3 linked regions of the Lepisosteus oculatus genome follow. The protein of the gene in region 3 binds, or shares a complex with, the protein of the main gene of each other region. Links are inferred from orthologs where the notes say so. Each region holds a gene or a part of one and is shown on either strand. Other genes may lie near its edges.

Region 1 (7,986 bases), about 8.1 Mb from region 3:
ATTTTTCTTTCCAGCAGCCACCTGCTTGCCTTTGGGACTCCAGCAGACTGGATGAAAAATAAGCGTAGCAAAAAACAATTAACTTCATTTAAAACTCTACTGAAAAATATCAGGGAAAATACTGTTTTTTCTTTCTACACCCTACGTGCAACCTGTTCACCACAGTATCACTTCAACAAGCTTTATCCAACACATTGATGTGAAGGATTGACAACCTTTTAACTGAGCAACACCAACTGATAAAGGAGAATATTAATTTGACAAATCACAAAAATAGAGATGAAGGGAAATCTCTCTCTCTCCCTGCCACACGGTACATGTAACTTTAGATATGTCAATACAACAACAGTGCTTTAAGGCCTTGCACCTGCATCACAACCCATTAAACAGATCTGTTCATCTTAATGGGCTGAGCACACTAATCTTGGGGCGGATTAGCCACGGAGGAGCACGCTCACCACATGTGATTCCCTCAGTGGGGGGCAACTGAGCCTGCAGCTTGGCACTGTCCAGGACCTCCAGAACCAGCATGCTGCCGTCGGACAGGCAGGCCGCCAGGAGGGAGGGCAGGGCCGGGTTCCACTTCAGGTCCTTCACCGAGGTCCCCGGCTGCACGGCCGGCCTGAGGCTGGTGAACGGCAGCTTCTCTGGCCTGGCCTGAGGGGAGAGGCACGGCCACGTCAACGCGGTGACCTTCTCCTTCCTTCCTGACGTTAAAGCTATAGCTGCCACGAGCGCTGGCACTGAATGACAGGCTATACGGCAGGTACACTCAGCCTCAGGGCTGCTATTCAAGTGAGCTGCGCTGCCAACAGGTGGGGAATCTGTTCACTGCCACCCGGGAGGATGTATTGCTTTGTGTTATAAAGCTGCAGTCAAACGCAGTCTTTTTTAAGAAACACGCAACTACAGTGGTTCATGCTCGTCGCCATCCTCTGCTGGAAGGCTATTTTTCCCATTAATGCTTGAAAGCTCTTTTACAGAAAACCTCCTCTAAAGCTCCAGGGAGACGAGATGACAGAAGGAGCTTTCAGTGCAGAAAGCCTACCTTATTGAGCAGAGTTCGGACGTCAAAGAAAGACAATTTCCCCCCCCCCTCAGCGGACAGCGTGCACACCGACAGGGTGAGCTCATCACAGCTCAGAGCCACATGGTGCACAGGAGATTCCAGAGCAACGCTTGTACCATTTACACCCTCCACTGAAAAACAGAGAAATCCAGATGAATTCCTGCATCAACATGAAACACAGCCACAATAGAACTGCAAAACAAGAACATACCATAGCAACACAAAACTGATAACATAATTGATCAAAATGTAATTATCACGAGTATTGTATACAACTAAAAGCACAAGTTATGCTAATCTTTTACAGATTGTGCACAAGGATACACATAAGGCTCCTATAACACAGCAATCTGATTTGGTTTAGAGCTGTGGGAATCTTCTTAAATGCATACAGGTAAAGCAAAAACAAATGTTTTTAATATTGCATTTGTTTACTGCAATGCAAGAGTACTCAAAATTATTTTACAGGCTTTAGAGAGCTATACAATTTTGGACCAAAATGTTAGGGTACAGATCCTAAGTCTGAATTTGATACAGGCAAGTGCAAGGATTTTCTCTGGCTTGACTATATTGTTTAAATCTAACTGGAAACCAATCAGCTATGATCCATGTTCACACTCTGCTCAGAAGTAAACACCCTCTGAAGTCACACTGTACCTATTTCGTTGGGATTGCCCTCAATCCGGTTTGCTGCAACGATGTCACAGGTTTGGAACACTTTGAGCTCCGTGTCATAGCCTATAAACGTCAGCCCATACTTGTTGGAAACTGCAAGCAGGTTAGACCTTTCTTTCGGCAACTCCTCTGGGGTGTCAAAAATGCGGATCTTCTTCATCTGCCTAAATTGAAAATCCTGCAAACAACAAATAAAAAGCATTTAAGCCGTGCACGTACTCTTTGTCCTCCTTAAAGTCTCTTGTAAAAACTGTTTACTGAAGTAACAGACACTGACAGTGCTGTACAGTTACGTTACAGTCTGTGGACCTCAGACATGAAGTTTATCCCTCAGTCGCAGAGGCAGCATTCCACAAGAACAAGATCTGTTTTTTGCAAAATGATTAAAAAGCACCACCTTCCATTCCAGCAGGAATAAGACGGATTTACATATGTATACGATAAATTCAGAACTTTCGAAACGAAGAAATGAAAGTGAAAACAACACAGGCTCAAATGTTTGCCGGCATCCTCGTAGATAATGGGTATGGAATAGAAAAAACGTAAAGCCTAATCTAACATATCATCAAGAAAATAATTTGAATGCTTAACTTAAAAATATCGTATAACTCTAAGGCAAATAGCACATTACAAAATAAGAAAATACATTCTAGACATACGAAAGTGTGACAGGAGTATCTAAATACTTTTTTAAGAATAGCTTTATCGTGTTTCGACAATCACAGCTGTCACTCAACCACGGTAAAAGTCTTAAGAGAGGCAAACCACGAAGATGTCGTGCACTCGGTACTGCAAATCGACCAATGTAAACTGAAAGCTTCACAAATTGTTTCAAACACTTACCTTCATTTCCCTTTCGGGAATTGCGTCCAAATCGTCGCTCATCTTGTATCACCGCAAAAGCAACGGTAAATTAATAAATGCAATAGCAGAAAAACAGTCAACTGTATTAAGTTTCAAATTAGTCTGAAACTCAAATTCGCAATAGTTTCATGATTCTCCTGACACCATCATGGCTTCTGTCTCAGTGCGACTGAGAATCAACACATCCGTCGCATGTCTTACGTCACAGATTCAAAACTATGGCGCCTCCCCTTGAGAAAATCAATTTACTGTATTATCCGTCACGGTGTCGTGTTAAACATTACTAAAATTGATTAAAAAAATTAAAAGTGTTTCATTAGCTGTTTCTGTGCGTGTAAAACTTTTCAACCTCTTGTCCTGGCTGGAAAATTGAATTCCTCAGGAAAGTTACAGTGGAATGTATCAGGAAAATGTTGTTAGAAAATTTAAACTGATGAGCTAAAATACATATTGTGTGTGTGTGACAATACTTGCTACGTGCTAATATATGACATAAATTAAAGTAATACAAAACTAAATGGTTAAAAATAAAACACCACTTGGAAAACTCACAATACTAAAATAGTCCACAATGTGGCGCTGTTTTTCTAATAGTTTCCTTACAGAGCTCCGTGAAGTTGGCCCCCCTACAGAGCACAAACGATCAAACCCACTTCATTCGTTTGTGCAAGTTTGTGCCAGTTTGTGTCGTTGAAAGTAGTGTTTGTGCCGCTTTCGTTCCCAGATATAGCACCTTGTTTTTCCGGTGATCATGTAACCATGCACGGCGACCTTGACCTCCAGTGACCCCGCCTTTACACGTCCCTTGGTGCGTGTTTATTGAAGAAGGAGACGGTGAGAAACTGATCATTTCAGGGTTTTTTTTTTTAAACACACACTGCTACGAAGTATTGAGACGTGCTCGTTAAAGCCTCTTGGTAAGAACATGCAATTGTTTGCTGGTGTTCTCTCTTTGAGACTACACCCGCAACTCTTCTGATTAGGGTGTGTGATATTCGTGACAAATCACTCCAACGCACAGAGGACACTGATATTTAATGCAAAATCCACCGCCGCCCCCCACCCGGGCAAACAGAGGAACACAACTGCAGAGCCGTTCCTCTCGCACCCCTCACAGACGCTTGAACTCGGGGTCACTGGAGGTCAAGGTCGCGTGATCACCGGAAGGACAAGGCGCTATATCTGGGGAACGAAACCGGCACAAACGACTGAGACCGGTCCGGTTTCCCTACGACGTTGTAGGGGTTCTGGGCAAGGTCACCCCTGAAAAAGAAGACGTTGTATCTAAGGAACGAAAGCAGCTGGGAAGTTACTTTCAACGGCACAAACCGGCACAAACGCTGCACTAACGATTGAGGTGGGTTTCGTCGTTTGTGCTGTGTGTAGGCGGGGGCAACTTCACGGAGCTTTTCATTACAGGCTGTTGGGAAGTACGCGACGGTTACTCATAAATGTGATTATGATCCATTACTGCTACGGAAAACAACATGCTGTTGTTGTTTTCCGCAGACGGTCGCCACTGCAGGTTGAGCGGGCCGGCTTACCGGCGCGGTGACGTCACCGCCCTTCCCTGTGAATAGGGAGGGCGGCTCAGGGAGATTTCCCTTTAGCTCAACGGGCGGGGTCCCTGTTGAGTGACCGGAGGCCCGGGTTCGAGTCCCTAGCGGTGGGGGGCCGACCTGAGGTGGGCACATACCCCCGTGAACCCGAGAGCGCTGCAATATATTCTTTGAAATTCTCCCGATAATTAGACTTGTTTAGATAATTAGATTTGTAATGCCTTTATCTATGGTGATAGATATTCATGGGACAAAATTTCACAAGTGACCGTAACAAAGTTACTGTGCAACGAGAAGAGTGATGTATTGAAACTTGGTTTGAATCATCACCCATTGAGGTAAGAAACAGAACAAATACAATGTACAGAATTATTTTTGTACAACACTTTTCCACCCAAAGATTTTGAAATTACTTGAGAGACTGTATGTACTGTATTATTATTATTATTATTATTATTATTATTATTATTATTATTATGTATATATTACTGTACATTAATACATAAAATAAATATGCCCACTGTATTCACCCCCCTAGGAGCCCCACTACACTGCAGATCAGGTAAAGAAGTGCAAAATTGCTATAACTGCAATAAAATTAAGAGGGAACTTAACTTGGTGGGTGAGATTTTGAGGGTTTAACAACCTTTCTCTTACAAATAGGGCAATGGGTCTTTGGTCTTTGGAAACCAAGCAATGAGAACCTCAGATTAACATTATTAAAACATTCATATCCCTGTATTTAAATCTGATATAGTTAAAAAAGGATCAAAATAGATCCACATTTATTCCTGTATGGCATCTTAATAATAATTCAGATTGAATGTGTAGGTTTTAGCACTATTGTTTTTTAACCAAAAACATAACAAAACAACAATACTGCAAACGGCTTTCTGATTAACTGACAATAAAAGAAAACAAACAGTGTTTGTACTTGGAAAGGTCAGTCCCACTGATAAGCTTGTAGCAATTGTTTTACAGTTGGTTTCATTTCCAAAACCCTGGGTTGGACAGACTCAACAGGTTTTGCATTGAGAAGCCTACTGTTGACTTCTTATTGTAATTGCAAAAACGTTCGAAAATGTCTAATTAAATTCTGATTCATTTTTTAAAATGCCATTTCATTTATTAGACATCATGTTTATGCAGTTTGGTAACAGAAAAAAACTCAATCCATAAACAACAGAAAGCCAATCAGAAAGTCTGTTACCCTGAAACAAGGTTAAGGAGCTGTAATGCATTGAATATTCCTAACTTTTTAACAGCTTTCCTTATGTGCATTTGGAGCCCTGTTGATAATTATTCTGACTGTTGTTCTGTTGTTAACTTAAAATATCTTACTTAGACTTAAAGTTAGATCCAAATGTTCCTTTTACTGTTTGGTTATCTGTTAACCTTACTTTTGAAGTATTAATATTGTGGCTCTCTGATGTGTCTGAGTACATGTTCTACAGAATATTGAAAAGTACAACACAAAAACGGTCAATATCTTGACAGTATAAATCCATGAGAAAGTTAACAAAGGTGAGAAGGCTGTTCAGTCCACCTTGCACATTTGACTGCTTGTAGATAATTTATTCCAGAGAACCTTCTTGCAAAGCCTTTAACTGTTGATTATAATATAAAATCAACCTAATGGATGAAAATATTGTCTATATGTAACAAGGAATAGTTAGACAAGTGGGCAACACAATTCCTGAATTATGACTTTTAATACTCTGTCATCAACTAAAGACAACTTTAGCCTGGTCTGATTATTTTGGAAAGTTTCACCAAGGAGGAAAGGGACATGATCAGTTCCCATTTTCCTGTCTTTCTTGTTACAGACACCCACCACTATTTTGGTAAAAAAAATGCCTCCTGTTTCCAGTCCTAAACCTCCCGCTTTTAATTTCCATTATTCACAGATCTTGATTGTACAGTATAATTCCCTTGAGTTGAAAAGCAATATCCTTTGAATTTTGCCTGTAACTGCCTTATTTATTTTTATACGGTATTCAGAATGTTTAAAATATAACAATAATTCTCTGATCTGTCAGTTTACTGCAAACAAGTATTTTAACTAGCCAAAGTGTTCTAACTAGTGACTAGTGTTTAGAACATTACAGGGTGCAGGCAGTGTAAATAGGTATTAAAATATGGCACACATACTGTATACTGTAAAGTCTCCTTCCAGTGAGTCTCATTTACATAATGTATGGTAAAAAGGGTTATTTCTGTATAATATAGTAGTTCTTTCTAGTTTATTTCTAGTGTTATCAAGGATTCAGCTTATATTATAGTATTGGTAGCAGTGTGAAATGGCAGTTAGGTGTCTAGACTCATAATTGGGAGGCTTGGGTTTAATTCCTGGGTGGGGAACTCCTGTTACACCTCTCAGAAAGATACTGCACTCAGACTGCTCCAGCAAAATGCCCAGACATGTAAGTAAATGGGTACACATGTAAGGCGGTTTGGGAATAAAGCATCGGTTAAATAACTAACTTATTATATCATGTTATAAACAAGCAGACTGTTTAAAATTAAATAATGAAAATAATCTCCTTAGTCAATCTGTTGAATATAAAACTATCTAATCTAATTTCTTCTTTTCATTTAATCGGCGTTGTGGCACAGAGCTAATTAAAATAGAGCATGGGATTACAGTGTCACAGAGCTGTGAACGCCAGGCTCCAGAAGTCACATGTGGAGCCCAGAGTGCACATGTACATTCCTTCTTCCCTTCCTAATAGCTCTTGTCAGTCAAAAGCATTCGTGGTCAAGAAAACCCTAGTCTAGAAGAAAAGAGACTAACACGTCGGCTTTGTATTCTACACACTAGGTGGGAGATTGCTGGAATAATGGCAAGCGGTAATGGAAAGGACCCTACGGGGAAGATGCAGACATGTAAGAGTTTAGATTGTGTTCATGGAGTGCTGCTCAAAATTCCCCAACAGAAAATCCTTAGTTGAAGAGCAACCCTTGGACAAAAGGCTGTAGTACACTGCAGAGAGCCATAATCTAAAACCAGCATAAAAGGTTAAGAAAATGTCTGCTTCCATTGCACTCTGTGGTCAAGGACCTGTGCTGCCCGCACAATAAACCCACTGCAGTCAGCTGCAATGTCCTTTCACCACTCAGGTTCGCTCCAGTGTTCTGGGCTTTATGGGCACATTGTGGTTTATTGTTAGCTACACCTCAACCAGGAAGGTTTTAAAGTCTCTTTCATAAGAGCTGCCAGAAGCCTGCACATGACATGCGAGCCCTGCAGGCCAGACTGCGCTGCCTAATCAGGAGCGTGATGAACAGCCTGGCTTTTTGAAACCCATGTTTGCAACAGCACTGCTAAGCGAGGCAGATAACCGGGAGCAATAGATAGCCATCTCAATCTTCCCCGGGTCCATTCAACAGTCTGCTCATTAGTCTGCTGTTAGAAGTTAGAATAACCTATTTATATATCTCATTTCATTTGCTTTTATACTAAAGCAAGGTGAAGCTGTATCAGGAGCATGTCTTTATCTAAAAAGGTTGCTGGATTCAGAGACTCAGTCTTGGAGAGCCAGAGTGTCTGATTTTCATTCATCTTAATTATTAAATTAAATTGGTTATTTTGATCAGAACTGAAGTTTTTTAGGTCTTAATGAGTAGGTAATTGAAACATGCCTGTAAACACCTCAGGATGCCAGCCCTAGAAGACTGAGATTATTCGACAGTGGTCTAACTTCTCTGCAGTCCACAAAGTATGATATCGTGTCTTAGAAATAGTGTGAACGGGAGATCAGTAGTTTTGTTTTCTAAAACTAGTTTAATGTCTAATAGGATTAAAATGAGTTGAAGGTG
Region 2 (7,694 bases), on a different chromosome or scaffold from region 3:
TTGTTTTCCCAATTAACGAAATCACGCATCAGAAAATAACGGTAGCGTTGAAACTTTTTTCGGCAGGATCCCAATTTAAGGCAGCGGCAGAAACCTCCCCCCCCCCGAACACACAGATGCAGGAAAAGGGGGTCCTCCCCCACCGCGTACCACGTCCCAGTAGGAAGGGTGCTGCGCGGGGCTCTCGCTCTGCAGAACCTCATGAGCCTGCTCATCGACGCCGGCCTTGTGCAGTCGAACCCAGTCCAGAAGGTGCAGCAGAAGGGTGCCAGCTTGAAAGGAATGATTGCAAACATTTACCGTTAACCACATGCAAGACAGCTCATCACTAACCCTGCACTCTCTCCCAACACACAGGCAGGGCAAGGTGAGCCTACACAACCATTTTCATCTGGCTGAAGGTCAGTGTGTACAGTGGCTTTCCAGAAGCCAAGATTAACCTTTCATCTCACCTTCCCCCTTCGATCAAATGAAAAATTATTTTTAGAACCTCTCCATCCATTTACAGATTTAATCTTTTCACACCTCTCCCCCAAGTCTCTCTTTGTTTGGACACTTTTTCTCCCCTTTCTTTGTCTCATCTTTCTTACTACGTTTCAACATGGAATTAACCTTTATTTGTTCCACTACATTCACGCTGCTGGGAGACTGAGCATACAGGAACTACTGTTAAAACCGCAAGCTTCCCATCTTGACCAGATGCAATTAATAAACCCTTTGTAAAAAAATCACCATCCAAATTAATAAATGTAATTAATTGTAATCACTAGGAAAGATGGGAATGTCATACAATACTTTACAGAAACTGGAAGGGGCCAGGTTTACCTTCACAGAAACACTATCAACCTTTACCCAAAAACTAATGTTCACGAGCTCATGTTCATGAATACAGTCTGTAAAGTTGGATGCATAAAACACAAACCTGGGGCAGCATCGATGAACAAGACTTCACATAGATTCCAGATGAGCTCCACTGCCAACAGAATTGACACCTGTATGGATATGCACAGATCTTTAGTTTGTCTGGAGAACGTCAAGGGGTAAAAAGACCACTCTGTCCATCTTTAGTTACTTTCAGCCTTATGAGTTTTACAGTTTCCTAATTGAAAGCTTTTGAGTTTCCACAAAACGTCTCTTGACGTGATTTTTTTACCTCCTCCCCAGCAACTCTGCTGAAGCCCAAGGGAAGATGAGAATTGCAGCAGTGTCAGAAGCTATGCTTTTCCACAGTTTGCATGCAATCAATTCAGTTACATCAATGCGTATGAAGCAAGAAGCTTCAAAAAGAGCTTTCCCAACCTGATTGCCATACTGTGTTGCTAGAGCCGCGTCACGTGCAGAAACTGCAGGGAACAGAAAAATCACAACAAATTAATGGCAGTGCTAAGAAACCGAAAAAGGATAGTTTTTAAAAAATCACCCTGCAGATACTGCTGTCACAGCCATGAGACATGTTCTGCATGACAGGAGTGAAACTCTTGGTACCTGCATTCTGTTGGAGCTCCTCCATACAGGCCCGGATCACTGATCGGTAGTTCTTACTAATGCTGACAAACCTGCAAATACAGGAGGACAGTTCAAGCATCCTGCATCGTGTCTGGGTTTGCTGTGAATTGTGCAGAGAAGTCGTTTAATCTCATTTTTAATTCTCATTCTCAGAGAAGTCACTCTTACAACCCCTTGAGTTTTGGGATGTGTTATAAATGTTACATGTTGTTATGCGTTATACTGTACATGTGCAACAGAGTGATGTGCAATGTTTTTCTTATTTTTATGTAATAGAATAATGTGCAATGTTTTTCTTTTCTTTTGTTTGCATTCTATTTAAATGTACAGGAGTGCTAGGTGTCCATAAAAAAATTCACACAGGGGACAATAAAAATCTTATCTTATTTGACCACAGCATTTAAAAAAAAAAAAAACTTGAAATGGTACATTACTCGTCACAATGACCAGATTCATCCTGCATGGATTTTACCCCACATGGATGAGAAACGTTACTACGACAAAAGAACAGAGCCCCCACCCACACCCCCGTCAGATACTCAAAATCAGTAAGCCATCTTTCTACGGATCTCCATGGTGACGGAGGCCGTGTACCGAGGCTTCTTGGCCTTGCTGGCGGTGTCGTCTGTGCTCTTCTGCAGCTGGACGAAGATGTGGTGGGACTCGTTGAAGAGCTTGCGCAGGATGGGAGAGTAGATGTCTTCATCCTTCCTGACCATGTGGATCCACGGGCAGCTCGCAAACGCAGCCGGGGCTCCTGACGGGGCGATCAAGGAAGAACAAGTCTCCGTTTGAGCTGTAGCAAAAAAAGAATCACCCAGAAACAGGCACCGTGTAACGGCAGGGAAGCCTCACCTGCTGTCTTGTACTGAGTTTCATAGGTCAGTATGTCCCTGGGACCCCACACAAAGCCCAAGTGCTTCTGCCTGAAGTCAACACCTGGGATGAGCTGCAAAATAAAATAATAATAATAATAATAATAATAATAATAATAATATACTTTAAATCGAAACCAGGAGTCAGACAGGACACTAAACGCGTCTCTGTGCTACCTTTTATTTTCTCTAATCAAGTGGTCTTGTTCAGGACTGAGCTGTGCATTACGTTTTTTTTTTATAATTAAGTTAAATGAATCCTTTTGTCAAATCAGAAAGGGGTCCTGAACAACATGTTCTCGTTCGCAGTGAGCACCGGCACCGGCAGTGAGCTGCCTGACTGAGAGAAGACGACAGCGGCGAAACGTCCGGGATTTGAACTCACGACCCTCCTCCTGCCCGGCAGACCAAAAAAAAAAAACCCTTAACATTTACTCCTAGCTGCAAGAAAAGCGATCCCCTGAAACCATCTCCGAACAATAAAAAGAGGTCGTGAAATGCTGTGCAATAATGTTTCATGAAGTTCTGAATGACCAAATATCCTAATTTCACCGGGATCGCGTCAAAGCGCTGGCACAACTGGAAACGTGACAAATTCAGCCTCAAATTCAAACAGAGGCGAAGACCACTCGTAGTCTTTATTACAGCCGCCTCTTCTTCATTTCAGGAGCTAGCAAACACCCGCTTTCTTTAGGCAAATGTGCGACTACAAAACTGAACAGACATCCCTCTACAGTGTTTCTATACGGTTCCCCCCCCGAGTTACAAATTATAAACCAGAGAGAGAACATACTGTTGTGGTCGGCTCGACATCCACCTCCTCCATTTCCTACCGAAAATGAAAAAAAAAAATAAACCTTTGCAAAGATGTTTCCTTCCGCAATAAGTGAATCAAAAAAAAATTCGCATGTGTAAGAAACTAAGCGCATTGAGATTTTTGTAAAAAAAACGAGACAGGACCCCATGTGCCCGGGCTTGAGCCGGACTGTCTACTCAGATGCCTGCGTAAAATATTGTGAAAGCAAAAGTGTTGAACGCAGCTGATGGTTGTTCCTGGGTTTCATATCTTTTAAAACCGCGTTTAGGCATTTGAGTTTTTGTGTGATTTATTCACCACGAAATACGGCAGTATTTTAGACGTGGACATATTTGTTTCAAATACATACTTTTTAAAAAATATATATTTTTGTGATCATCTGTGCTGGAGGGAACCTGCTTCTCAAACGAAAGGAACTGGTCTCTCTTTTCACATGTGAACTGGAACAGAAACATAGTGGGGGGGTATTTTTAAACTGGAGATTGATTTTTTTTTAAATATAAATGATCATTTTAATGTTTGATGAAAATACAAATGGACGCATTCAATTAACTACTGGGTTTACGTTCGAAGACTACTGATTGTGGTTCTAATGCTGATGTTTAAAAGGTCAAAGGATATGGTCGCTTACTTCTTAAATAATTATTTATTTGGATGTCCATGTGGCACAAAGCACACTTTTTCATATAATTTTGGGTCTAGCTGGTAATAAACCTGCCCCTTCGAGAGGGGAGAAAGAGAAAGGCTTTAAAACTACTTATTCAAAGATGTCATACAATGACATAATACCTTTAACAATTCATGTTTATTTAGAAAAACGACCAACCACAAATCCTTCTCAATAAACACACCAGATACAGCATCAAACATTTAGAACTACATGAAACAGAAATTCTGTTGTTATTACTACTGTTGACACACTGTATAGTGTGGCTATAATAATCAGTGTTCAACGTTTAAGTGTCAAAGAGCATGGAGGAACCACTATAAATTATGTGATATATGCATATAAGCTTCAAAAGAGTTTTGCAAGTTTGCTTTTCTTACTTTAAGAATCTAAATGTAAGGGTAAGTGGTGTAGTTATAAGATATAGGTAATTACTATTGTATGATGAAGATAGGGCCTGCCCCTGTGGTGAACCATGAGCAACTGGGGGTCAATTTCCCAGTGTCCCAGTAAATCTTGCATTTCATATGCCTGAAATGTTGGAAAGCACAACCCAGGGTAATGTTTATTTTAAATGGCAAATTCATGAAATTATGTCATGGAATTGGAATTTTGGCATTTACAAAATAATTACTTTGTCCCGCGAAGAGTAAAGCTAATTATTAACACCTTCTTGGAAAATGTCTCTCTTTTAACTGAAAAAAAGGGTTTGACTGTGTCTTTGTACTGTGGATAATTTGTAACTGGTGAAAAACAACCCACCACACAGGAAAACAAGATGGCTTCCACAGCCTGCTCCATCAGAATTTTCCAGAAATTGTCCTTTGGTCACCTACATTCCCAGAATACACTATAATTATGAATGTTGTTTTAAATGTCTATCCCAGAAGCCAGGGCATGAGAAAAATGTTACTTTTCGGTCGAGTGGGATTCCTTTATGCTTCTCTCTATCCGTGTAAAACAAAACAAATTAAAAAAGATGAACATAATTTTTTCGCCATGCGCGTGCACGAGCGGCGGCGCGGCGGCCAATAACGTGGATGACGTCACTCCCGCCTAGGCGAGCACGGGGAGCCGGCCCTCGTGACCGCCTCCGTCCAGTGAGCAGCGGGCGCCGCGGACGAGCAATGTCTCGTGCCCGCGCACGCCATGCCGGTTTAATGAGTCGGCGGCGAGGACGTGCGCGCTCCCGACTTACTCTTTGTGTGGCGGCGTAGAGAGACGCGGAGAGGAAAGCCATGGCGGACGAAAAACCCAAGGTGAGCAAAAGAAAAAGCTGATTACGAAATGCCCGCGTCTTCCTCATACGCGTTATTTCCTAAGTGAGATCGATTCATCGGTATCTCCGCTGACTTGTGAGCCAAGCGATCGGCGAAATCTACCGCTGGTCTAGCACCGGAAGGGATGTGAGCGAGCCTGCAGAGGCGGGCAATCAGAAAAGATCTTAACTTTTTTTTTCTTCTTTTTAGTAGTCGTTTTCTAAAATCGAGGAGTGCCCCGCTTCTGCGGCACGCCGCGGAGGGCGGCCGGGGGCCCGTCCTGGGGGCGAGGGGGCCCGGTCTGCTCTCCTTGTTTTGGGCCCAGTGTGGACCTCGCGTGTGTCGGGCTGCGCGCTCATTGGGAGTTGATGTCTTCCAAAACACCCCGGCGGCCCGGGCTGCCCGCTGATGCCCCCTCTCTCCCCCGGACCACCGCCGCCGGTGGTGTCAGGCTCGTCTTTTTCCCCTCCCCGTTCGCTTCGGGAGAGGCCGGGTTGGGATGTCTGGCGTCGGGAGAGACGGGGTGGGTTGGGGGGACGGGGGACGCACCTTCCACTTTCCACCCGAAGTTTTGAGCCGCTTCTAAGGAAGGGCGACCTCCTCCACAACACACGGGTCGGAAGCCGGCAGTGGTAAAAAAAAAATAAAATAAAGAAGACCCTTACGGATACATCATCTGTCCCACCTCCGCTCTCTACCTGAGCAGATGATGGTGCTCACCAGATGCCCAAAGTGTAGCTCTTCCGTGCGCAGTTGGTCTCGCTGTCTGTGGGGGGGTGGGGTGGGAAGTGTAGTTGTCAGACCTTTCCCACGAGCGTGGAGATATTTTCATGGACACGAGCATGCCGACCGGTGACACAAAGGTGTGTGTTTTTTTTTAACCTGGACAACTGAAGTCATTCGTTAATGTTTACAGTACTTTTCTCAGACGCACAAAATCGCATGAGTAAGATAGTGGTTTCAAATAATAAGTAGACATTGTAGACTTATAATAAGTTGTGAACAGGAGTAAGTATTCTAATTCATAACATTTATGTGCTAACTGCAAAACATGTGGTTTTTCAGTCTCTAATCCAAGAAATATGTGGATTTTATACTTTTATACTGTGCACTTTTACGTACCCTCTGTAGAGTTAAAACCGCTAAATGTAAGCTTATTGTTGTTTAAGCGCTGGGAAAAAAAAGTTTTGTGGGTTTCCGTGTTGTGGAAGATAAGCTGTGGGGACAGTTTGCTTCACAGCCTTACCTTTAAAGTGACTGCTGTCTTATTCCATGGGACTCGGGGTTTTTGCTGGCGACAGTGCCACGCAGTGGAAGGAGAGGAGTAAGCACAGGAGCACCGATAGGAATCTGGGGGGGAACTGCGAAATGTTCCTGTAGAATTAAAGCAAGCCGTGCGTGGCTTAAAGCTTCTTACAGGCCTTGCAACCATCGTTTGGCCTTTTCTGAACAACATCTAGTTTATGCTCGCTGAGCCAGACTTACCGATTCCTTAATCCCTTCTTCTTAGTTCAAGCTCCCAACTCTCAGGGGTGGTTTTAGCTGAGGACACCTTGCACCGAAAGGTTTAGGTTTTGTGGTTGGCCTTCCGTGTCAATCACCTGTGCAGTGTATGTGTAGGTCTTAAACTTTTTTTTTACAAAGAAGACATGGGTGATGTGACGCGAATACACAACCCATTTATTTTCATTTTGTGTGAGCGTTTCTGTAGTGGCTTGAACGAGATGTATTCTGCAGTCCCTCTTGTTAAAGAATATCTATCCCTGAGAACGAAATATGTGGTACATGCTAAGGTGGGGATTTGATATAGAAGCATTTCTAGTTGGCAGGAGTTTTTCATTGATCTAGAAGCAGTATAAACAACCTGGAGAAGATTCATCACAGTGTTCTTCATTAATGCATTCTTACCAGACTCCCTCAACGGGAATCCAGTCTCAGATTCCAGATGAAGAATGTGAAGAAGGAAGACTCTTGAAGAAGTCTTATCCTGATTTTATGTTTTTCACTAAAAAAACCCAAGTTGAGCTGCAGCATCTCCTTTTTTTCCCTCTGTTGGTAGATCTGTAGACTTGAGTAATTTGCCCTGTTTGCTGCTTGAGTATATGGAGAATGCCAACCAGGGAAGAAGAAGGATAATAATGTGAAGACTCACCAGGCAGAGGCTTCCCACAGAATGAGCAGGTTCTTATTGTGTCTTGTGGCTTCTGTCCTTTAGGAAGGAGTGAAAACGGAAAACAACGACCACATTAACCTGAAGGTGGCGGGGCAGGATGGGTCCGTGGTGCAGTTTAAGATCAAGAGACACACGCCACTCAGCAAACTCATGAAAGCTTACTGCGAGAGACAGGTATGGCTGGGGAGCAGCGTGTAGGGGTGGGGACATGCACAGCCTTGGGTTGGAGGTAGGCACTCAGCTTTTAATGCCATTACTGCACATCAGACATTGGTCCCTGACATCCTTGGGGTTTCAGTTTCCCCAGGGGCTTAAAATGCTTCAGAGCTTAATAGAATATTTTGTAAATGGTATGTATTCCTTCATTTTCAAATGCAACGGTAACATTATTATGAGT
Region 3 (8,222 bases):
GCAGTGGATACAATGAAATGTGCAAACATAAAAGGAGTAAACACCGGGACTTAAAAGGTTCAGAGAAAATAACTTGTATGATTACTGGATTAATTACACGATCATAGTCATGTTTTCGATTTTAAGTTTGATTGTAATTTTAACAAAGGCCTGTTCTTTTTTTCTATCTTAGAAGTTGTAATATATGCATGAATGAATTGTCCAAATACCCAATATACAACAAAATATGTACAGACTGTTACATTAGCTACCATCTCTGCTGCCAGAGACTCACAGACTCGGCAATTTTAAAACCTGCTCTTGCATCGGGACTCCTCTGTCTGGCCACGCTTGCCTTTGTCTTCAAATGGCCTGGTTTGCACTGTGCATTGGGCATCTTCTGATTAACTTCGAGAAACTCATGTCCCGTGCAGATCTGGTCAAGCATTTGCACCCCTGTTACATCATCAGGGTCTGATCATCTGATCTGCAGTTTCACACTGGATTCCAGCTTACCTTTAACAGCAGTGCTTGGCTCTGCCGCTCATCTTGCAGGACAGACTAATGTAAGAAAGAGAAACAAACAGATCATGTGAAAAGGGAAAAGTACTTTCCAAAAACTATTCCGTTTCCAGGTTGGTGAATTTTTCTATTTCATTATTAAGGCACTGGAAATCCTTCTCTACCTTTAAGGCATCCCTGGTGCCTCTGTAGTCTTCCTGCAAGTAACACTGCAACACCTGGACACTCTGCTGTTCATCAAGGCCCTGGAATACAGTAAATATACCATGTTGACATGACAAATCTGTGGCAATTTATTATCTCAATGGCAAAACAAAATCTGATGTTGCACATTCTCCATATCACAGGCTGCAATAGTACAATTTCTAATTACTTTATTAATACAAGTAGTTAATTTAATCAATTGCAAGAACTTGAATATGCTTCAGCACCTCTTAAAGAATAACAGAGCATTTTAAAGCACACAATCTCATTTAAAAAAAACTCACAAAGGTTAAAGATTATTTTTCACAAAAATAAACGTAAAGAACGCATAGCCAATGTAGGCATGTGTAGGTCAGGCACTATAACATTCCAATTACATACCGTATTGTACTAATTGGATTAAAGAATATGTTTGACATAAAATTCTGCATAATAATATAAAATTCCATCCAAAGGTAATTTATATTTTACACTTACCTAAACAGGAGATGTAATCCATTCTCAAAGATTACATTTACAAATAAATCTCATAACACTCACCAATAATTTACTGATTCTGAGACCAAAGTCTTTCAGTGGCTGGGCAACTTCTTTATCTGACTTCAGTTTTTCTGCAGCCGATGAACTAGAAAAAGAGAGATGCAAATATCAGATTACTGAATTAACTGATTTTAGATGTTTTGATTCTACGCTCTGTTGTCTGAATAATAGCAAACATATCTGCTTTGATCTTAATCATATATTGTACATTTGAACTATGATGCTATATAAAAAGGTTTACCTTTACAAAATAAGTGTTTATCAACAGCATACCTAGGTGGTTTGTAGTAACATAATCCTGATAGCAACCGCTCCCAGTTTCTGTCAAGCTCTGCTTCAATCTGGGCCTATTATTGAAAGATAAAACACGAATGCAGATAATAATGACAAACACATACAGCTACGCCTGTGATTCCAACAACAGTTACAGTTAAGAAAATCTAAAATACTCTAGATTTAGCTTTAATGAAAACCAAAGAAGAATATTCAGGTATCTATGACTGACTTCTTTATACATTCTCCTTATCCTAATAATTACATTTTATTTAAAAAATCACCAGTCACAGACTGCTCCCTTTGTGTGGATAAGAATGTTGCAACATTTTTCTCAATGTTTATTCACAGCATTAACAGGTTTTCAAGAAAATTGCTAGGCGGCATAGCAAGTTTCCCTGATCTTCATACATGTTTTCGGAGATGTAAATGGGAGTCATATGAACAAATTATGTAACAATACCAAAACCAAGAAAAAAAAACAAAATTGCACTGCTGATAATCATTTTTTAATTAAAGGGTTGCATATTCATGCAAACAGAATACGGAAAAAAACGTTACCGGTTCCCTCAAAGCCGATCTTCCCAACAAGATCGTCCAAAGTTCTCTGCTGGTCCTACAAAAATAAACGCATTCATCCCTATAAAAGTGACGAAAATAATCATAAATGACATTCCACGCACTTATACTTAGAGATAAACGTGAACATTTAAAAGCTTACACATCTGCGGCATATTAACACTGTTACGTACATTTCACATCTCACTGGTACGTCTGGACGCTACACACGATTTTTAGGGTCAGAAATAAGGAAAAAAAATACTTTACTCCAAAGTTGAAAGTGTCAAAATCAGATTCAAGTTACTGTATGTTCAAACCTCCGCGTTCAACTGTTTTGACATTTCTCGGCAGTTCTGTGTTAATGGAAGTTACAACATTTTGACAGTATACGTTTGTTTTCTTTTAAATTGTCTTTATTAAAGGGATGCAGCGTAACGGATCGTCCTTCGCATGAATTTTAGGAACCAATAGCCTACATTCATTCAAAGAACTAGGCACGTTTTCAATCTAGTTTTTAAGCAATTACTTCTGTTATAACATTGGCAATAAACCTAGATAATAGGACCACCGTACTATATAGTCTCAACAAGTTTTTTCTATACTGTTAATTGTTCTTGATCCGAACATTATTGGAGTATCTCGGAACATGGTACTTGTTATATACATATTTCCTGCCAATGAGAATAAGAAGCAATGTTAACTGCCTTCTAAAAAATTTCACTAACATGCGGCAGAAAACAGCACACATTTTTCCCTCCACATTGTAATAGCCATCCCATTTATAAAAGTAAGAACTAAAAGGAAAACGTCCAAACGTCTAAATAACTATTCATTCATTTCATTTTATCCTTCCTCATTACATTTCCCATTCAGACATGATCAGTTTTGTACAATGCCATACATTAAAAGAACACTTTTGCTTTTCTTTCAAGTACCTGACACACATCTCCGAGTCCGCCATATTCCCCCCTACACGTGACACCTCCTCCGGTCGAACACCCTGGTCATGTGACGGGTGCCCCGGGTTGGAAAGAATAAAAAAAACACTTCCGAAGCCGGCAACTGAGATGCGATCACTGTGTAGGAAGCAGAAAATAAAATCCGCCCTATTCATGTGATCAAGCTGTCAACATGGCCGCCTCCTAGATGTTAAAGACTAAAAAAAAAATTATACGATCGAATGAAAGTACGCACAAAACGTGTTATGATCGCGGTGGACATGTGAAGTAAGTTAATTAACACATTTTATGATATCTGGGTAGTGTTATCAGTTGGCTTTTGCAAATTCATGGGGATGTTGCTTGCATGTCAGATATCTTGTACCTTGCACCCAGTTCCGTTATGTTGTAATTTCATACAATCGATTGGCTACCAACCAGTCTTGTTAAACCACAAAAGGCCTCAGTTAAAGCGGACTCGAATGCATTTACCGTGGAGCTCTTAAATATCCATGCGTTTCTCGTGTTTTCAATTTTGAAGCTTTTAACTATGGATAGGAAATTACGCACCTGCAGCCAAAAAACGCTGTCTGAAATACATTGTTTTATACAATAGCCGTTTAACAATGTCAGTACTAGTCTACTTCAGTGGAGTGGTTTTATGAAAAAGCACAGCGTTAAGGTAAGCTGACTGTCAAATTGTTACATGTTTCACAAGCTTTGTTAGGAACAGAGTGGTGTTTGAAACAAAGAGCATTAATGTTTTAAAGAGAGGAGGCCATCCTGCTGATCTAAGTCGCTTGGGTGATACCGATACAGTACTAAGCTAAGTGATCCGAGGATTTCGTCGGGCTGCGTCTTGAAAGACGACATTACACGACCATAAAAGAACGTTTTTATTCTCTTCTAACCGGATACTCCGCGGATGTGTGATGACGAAGAGTTTTATTAAATGTTTTATTACGTGGGGAGTAAAAGCACGTTTCCATGATTTGCTTACTTTTATTACGACAGAATTGTAGTATTTTGCCCTGGCCGTTGGCATTTCTAATTGGTGACGTCTCTCGTGTCCGTGAGGGTACATCGGCTTGCAAATACGCTATAGAAAAAGTGACAGAATTATAGAGTTAAATCATTCCACCGACCGAGACTAACACTGTAATATATATATATATCGATAGGTGGCGTAAGAATGAAGAATGGAAAAATGTGAAGCATTACATCAAGGAAGTGGCCTGCCCTGGATGCAAGAAAATACCGATAAATAGCAGTTTTGAGAAGCACCCCTGAAGCTGCAGGATCTGCAACCATGCTGACGAATCCTGTGTTCGTGGAGTCAGTTATTGTTTTCACTATTGTTTTGTGTGTCCATTTTGTGGTTTGGAATCAGCTGTCATGGTGTTCCATTGCCTTGGCCATTCAAGCCTTCTATGTCCAGTACAAATGGGACCGCCTCCTGAAATCTGGCGGGGCTGTGTTTCAGTTCAGACCCTCTGCGAACAGTGGCATCCTGCCCGCTTGCATGATCATGCCTCTACTTGGCCTGGCCCTGAAAGAGCGCTGCCAAGCCTCCGGAAATGTGTACTTCGAGCGCTTTTCAATGGTGGTCACCGCGACAGGGATGATGCTGGCTCTGTTTCTCTCCCTGATTGCCCTCGGCATCACCAGGCCTGTGCCGACCAACACCTGTGTCATTTCTGGCATTGCTGGTAGCGCCGTGATCTACACGATCAAGCAAACCCTAACGGTCTCTGAAGTCATTGAAGTGCTGGAGGTGCTTCTGATCTTCGTCTACCTCAGCCTGATCATTCTGTACCTCCTGCCTCGCTGCTTCACTCCTGGTGAGGGCCTCATCATCATCGGTGGTATTAGCTTCATCATCAACCAGCTCATTAAGCGCTCCCTGAATGCCCCTGAATCCAAAGGAGATCCCATCAACTACTTCCTGCTAGTGATCGTGGTTGGATGTCTCTTGCTGGGGATCTTCTTCACCCTGCTCTTCTGCTTCATGGAGTCGGAGACCTGGGTGTCCTCCCTGTTTTTCCACATGATGACGGCAGTTCTTGGCTTGGGGATTATCATGCCATGGCTTGCCCTCCTGATCCGAAGGCACCCCTTAATGTGGCTGATCGACTTCCTCCTCCTGAGTCAGAACAGACTCTGCCTGCTGGCCTACTGGGTCCTGCTGGCAGTGCTGGCGTCTCTGGTGGTGTTCCACCAGAACTACAAGAGGTCTTTGGGGTCCAAGAAGCACCAGGCCTCTACAGTCGTGAGGAAGTACTTCCATTTCATTGTGGTGGCCACGTACGTGCCCGGGCTGATTTACGACCGTCAGCTTCTGCACGTCGCCTCCGTCACCTGCTTGGCCGCCTTCCTCCTCCTGGAGTACGTCCGCTACTTTCGGATCAGACCCGTCGGGCACCTCCTCCGGCAGCTGCTGTCTCTGTTCCTGGATGAGCGAGACTCCGGGCCCCTCATCCTCACCCACATCTACCTTCTCCTCGGGATGTCCCTTCCCATATGGCTGTACCCTGGACCCTGCATGCCTAAAGGAAGCCTCCCAGGAGTGGGGGGACTGGTGCCCTATGCTGGTGTGCTGGCCGTCGGTGTTGGGGACACTATGGCATCTGTGTTCGGCAGCACCATGGGAGAGGTCCGGTGGCCCGGGACCAAGAAGACCATGGAAGGGACAGCCACTTCGATCTTCGCCCAGATTATTGCTATTGCTCTTTTCCTCATTTTTGATGAGGCCATTAACTTGAACACCAGCTATGCTTGGATAGTAGGATCAGTCACACTGGTTTCTTTACTAGAGGCCTACACAGCCCAGATAGACAACCTCCTACTACCCCTTTACCTTTTTATACTGCTCATGCTATGAAGGTAAAAGAACATTAAAAGCCCTTTCATTTTTTTAATGCTTGTACTGTATCTCCTTACAGTACTGAACAGAAAGTCATATTGAAAATATTCCAACAGTTCAGGGGTTTGAGGAGTTTGAATCAAATTGCATTTCTACATTTACTGCTATTTTTTTGAAGGCAAAGCAGCTTTAGCTTTGGAATGAGAAGAATACTGCACTCTAAGGCTAGCTGTACTTGAAAGCACTTTGGTTAATCAACACTGGCCACTTCAACACTACAGCAAGAGTAAGATATTTAAGGCAGATTAATCACAATTCAGTATAGTTATGGGTGGTCATAGCAACATAAGAAGTAAAAAAAATGCTATTTAGTGTCTCTGTGGCAGTGTTAGTTTTTCTATTGTTTGGGTAGAATTTAGGAATTGTATTTTGTCAAAATAGCGCTGATAGTACTTTAGCAGTTTTGTTCCTGAGTGAGTATTAAAAGGGGAGGCTCAATATACTTACTGTAATATATCCCTTTGCAGTTCCAGCTAGCGCACGAGTCCCAAAAGTATTTCATAATATTTTTTTCAGATGGTGCACAGCAAAGAGAAGTCAAAATACTGTTTTTCATTTTGTAATATGTAGTTTAGAATCAGTTTACATCTGACAACAATTACACCACCTAGTGATTATGGAAGTAAATTGTGAATGGTGATGATGCCTTTTCCTTAATCAAATGTACATTTTTCTCACCCTAAAGCTTAAGCTTTATTGAGGAATTTTTTACTTGAATTTCTCCGTTCCATGTTTCCTCAGCTTTTAACATGATTGCAGCAGATATTTGTCAAACCACTATTTTTTTTTCAGAATGTAAATTTGTCTTTCTCATTTCTGTGGAAGTACTAGAAATATTAAGACTTGGATGTGAAAAAGCATTGTGAATACTATATCATTACGGGCACCGAATTTAGCTAGAGAAAAATGTAATAATTGAAAGTATAGATATGTGATCTATTTAGTTTTTATTAGACATTTTATATGACTGAACAAGTACTAAAAATAACAATTTCAGTGGTGGAACCTTCTTCAGGTTTTTATATAAAGGTTTTTAGGTTCTTCTGCATAACCTAATATAAGCTACAGATTTAAAACCTTGAAAATAGACCTCAGTTCTGTATTTGTATTTCCTCTTATAGCTGTCAAGGAATTCCCTTGACTACAGTTAAGTTTGGCCACCAATCATACGAGTAAACACGACTGCCTTAAATATGTCTTCTCTAAGACCAGCATGTAGTAAACTATCTTTTGCCTCTACTTTGGCTTGTAAGTGAGTTGCCATGCTCTGCATACTCACTAGATGGCAATATGCTACATCACTAAGCCAGTCTTCTCAAAGTACTGTAAAATATATCTATTATTTAAACAACATTTAAAAAGTCACTTGTGCATTATGTAACACTGTCATACAGAGGGAGGACACATAGTTTAGTTTCTAATTAGGAAAATTCTAGCTAGCTAAGATTCTACAACCTTCTTTCTGTTATATTCACTGAAGATTGATCTACATATCCTTAATGTTAATTGCTGTTGCAACACACTAGTAATGTCTACAAAAATAAATAGTATCCCAGGTTGCCCTTATTTTACTTTTCAATTGTCCATTTTTTATTTAAAAAAACACCAGATTTGAAACTGCGCTTAGAGTCCTGGTCCTTTCTTCAACACAATAGACTGAATTGTATTCAGATGCTGCATTTCTTGTACTGTATGTCAGAAGAAGCAGAGTTAAAAACTCTCAGTTTCAGGGACAAAAAAAAAAACTATCCTGTAGGTATTTAATTATTTCGCAGCAAGGTATTGAAAATGGCAGATCATCCTGCAAGACTTTAAAACCCAGCTACTGAAAGGGTTGTGACCGTCGAGGACAAACACAACTCCTGTAGTCAGTTGTAAGTTTCAATCATTAGAGCAGCTCACAGCTGTTGCCCTAAATGTAACAGATTGTGTGTTATGCAACAGCAGGAGAGGAGAGGTATTACCGAAACACACATGCTTCATAAAAGGGGCTATAAAAATAGTTTTGGCTGGACTCCCTGTTAAATCGCAGTGTGGTGCAGCAATTTATCAGAACACTCCAGCAGCTAAGTAAGCTCTTTGTTTCATTTTGTGTTTTCATTCGTCTGGGGAAACCTTGTTCATTTTCTAATTAAGATGATTGTGATGCCACACAGGTGCATGTCATAGCCTGGTGGTACTGTGAGGCTACATTGTTTTTGGAGAGGCCTACACATTTCTGCCAGTGGCTTTCTATATTGTTTTAATTTGGGCCAACTTTTTATTTGGGCCAACTTCTGATG

Evidence for each region. Proteins that work in one complex are often made in the same cells at the same time.
Region 1: nup188 (region 3) and nup214 share a complex: the UniProt entries of both Homo sapiens proteins name them as parts of the nuclear pore complex. The link is inferred for Lepisosteus oculatus from reciprocal best matches to the Homo sapiens genes NUP188 and NUP214.
Region 2: nup188 (region 3) and nup85 share a complex: the UniProt entries of both Homo sapiens proteins name them as parts of the nuclear pore complex. The link is inferred for Lepisosteus oculatus from reciprocal best matches to the Homo sapiens genes NUP188 and NUP85.

The regions. Positions count from the first base shown.
Region 1 is NC_090719.1:15,565,105-15,573,090, forward strand, and holds the start of nup214 (nuclear pore complex protein Nup214), read right to left. Parts: upstream 3,361-7,986; 5' UTR 3,342-3,360; intron 3,196-3,341; exon of another isoform or gene 3,161-3,195; intron 3,054-3,160; exon of another isoform or gene 2,630-3,053; coding exon 2,588-2,629; intron 1,923-2,587; coding exon 1,727-1,922; intron 1,201-1,726; coding exon 1,049-1,200; intron 658-1,048; coding exon 459-657; intron 48-458; coding exon 1-47. UniProt on the Homo sapiens protein: Part of the nuclear pore complex. Has a critical role in nucleocytoplasmic transport.
Region 2 is NC_090704.1:44,419,601-44,427,294, forward strand, and holds the start of nup85 (nuclear pore complex protein Nup85), read right to left. Parts: upstream 3,361-7,694; 5' UTR 3,347-3,360; coding exon 3,239-3,346; exon of another isoform or gene 3,208-3,238; coding exon of another isoform or gene 3,175-3,207; intron 2,456-3,174; coding exon 2,362-2,455; intron 2,264-2,361; coding exon 2,101-2,263; intron 1,557-2,100; coding exon 1,486-1,556; intron 1,344-1,485; coding exon 1,300-1,343; intron 993-1,299; coding exon 923-992; intron 273-922; coding exon 151-272; intron 1-150. Other genes in the region: small ubiquitin-related modifier 2, read left to right, coding at 5,104-5,124, 7,340-7,471. UniProt on the Homo sapiens protein: Essential component of the nuclear pore complex (NPC) that seems to be required for NPC assembly and maintenance. As part of the NPC Nup107-160 subcomplex plays a role in RNA export and in tethering NUP96/Nup98 and NUP153 to the nucleus.
Region 3 is NC_090719.1:7,420,845-7,429,066, reverse strand, and holds the start of nup188 (nucleoporin NUP188), read right to left. Parts: upstream 3,076-8,222; 5' UTR 3,041-3,075; coding exon 3,015-3,040; intron 2,135-3,014; coding exon 2,080-2,134; intron 1,593-2,079; coding exon 1,519-1,592; intron 1,331-1,518; coding exon 1,246-1,330; intron 747-1,245; coding exon 666-746; intron 541-665; coding exon 496-540; intron 1-495. Other genes in the region: dolk (dolichol kinase), read left to right, coding at 4,327-5,898. UniProt on the Homo sapiens protein: Component of the nuclear pore complex (NPC), a complex required for the trafficking across the nuclear envelope. Required for proper protein transport into the nucleus.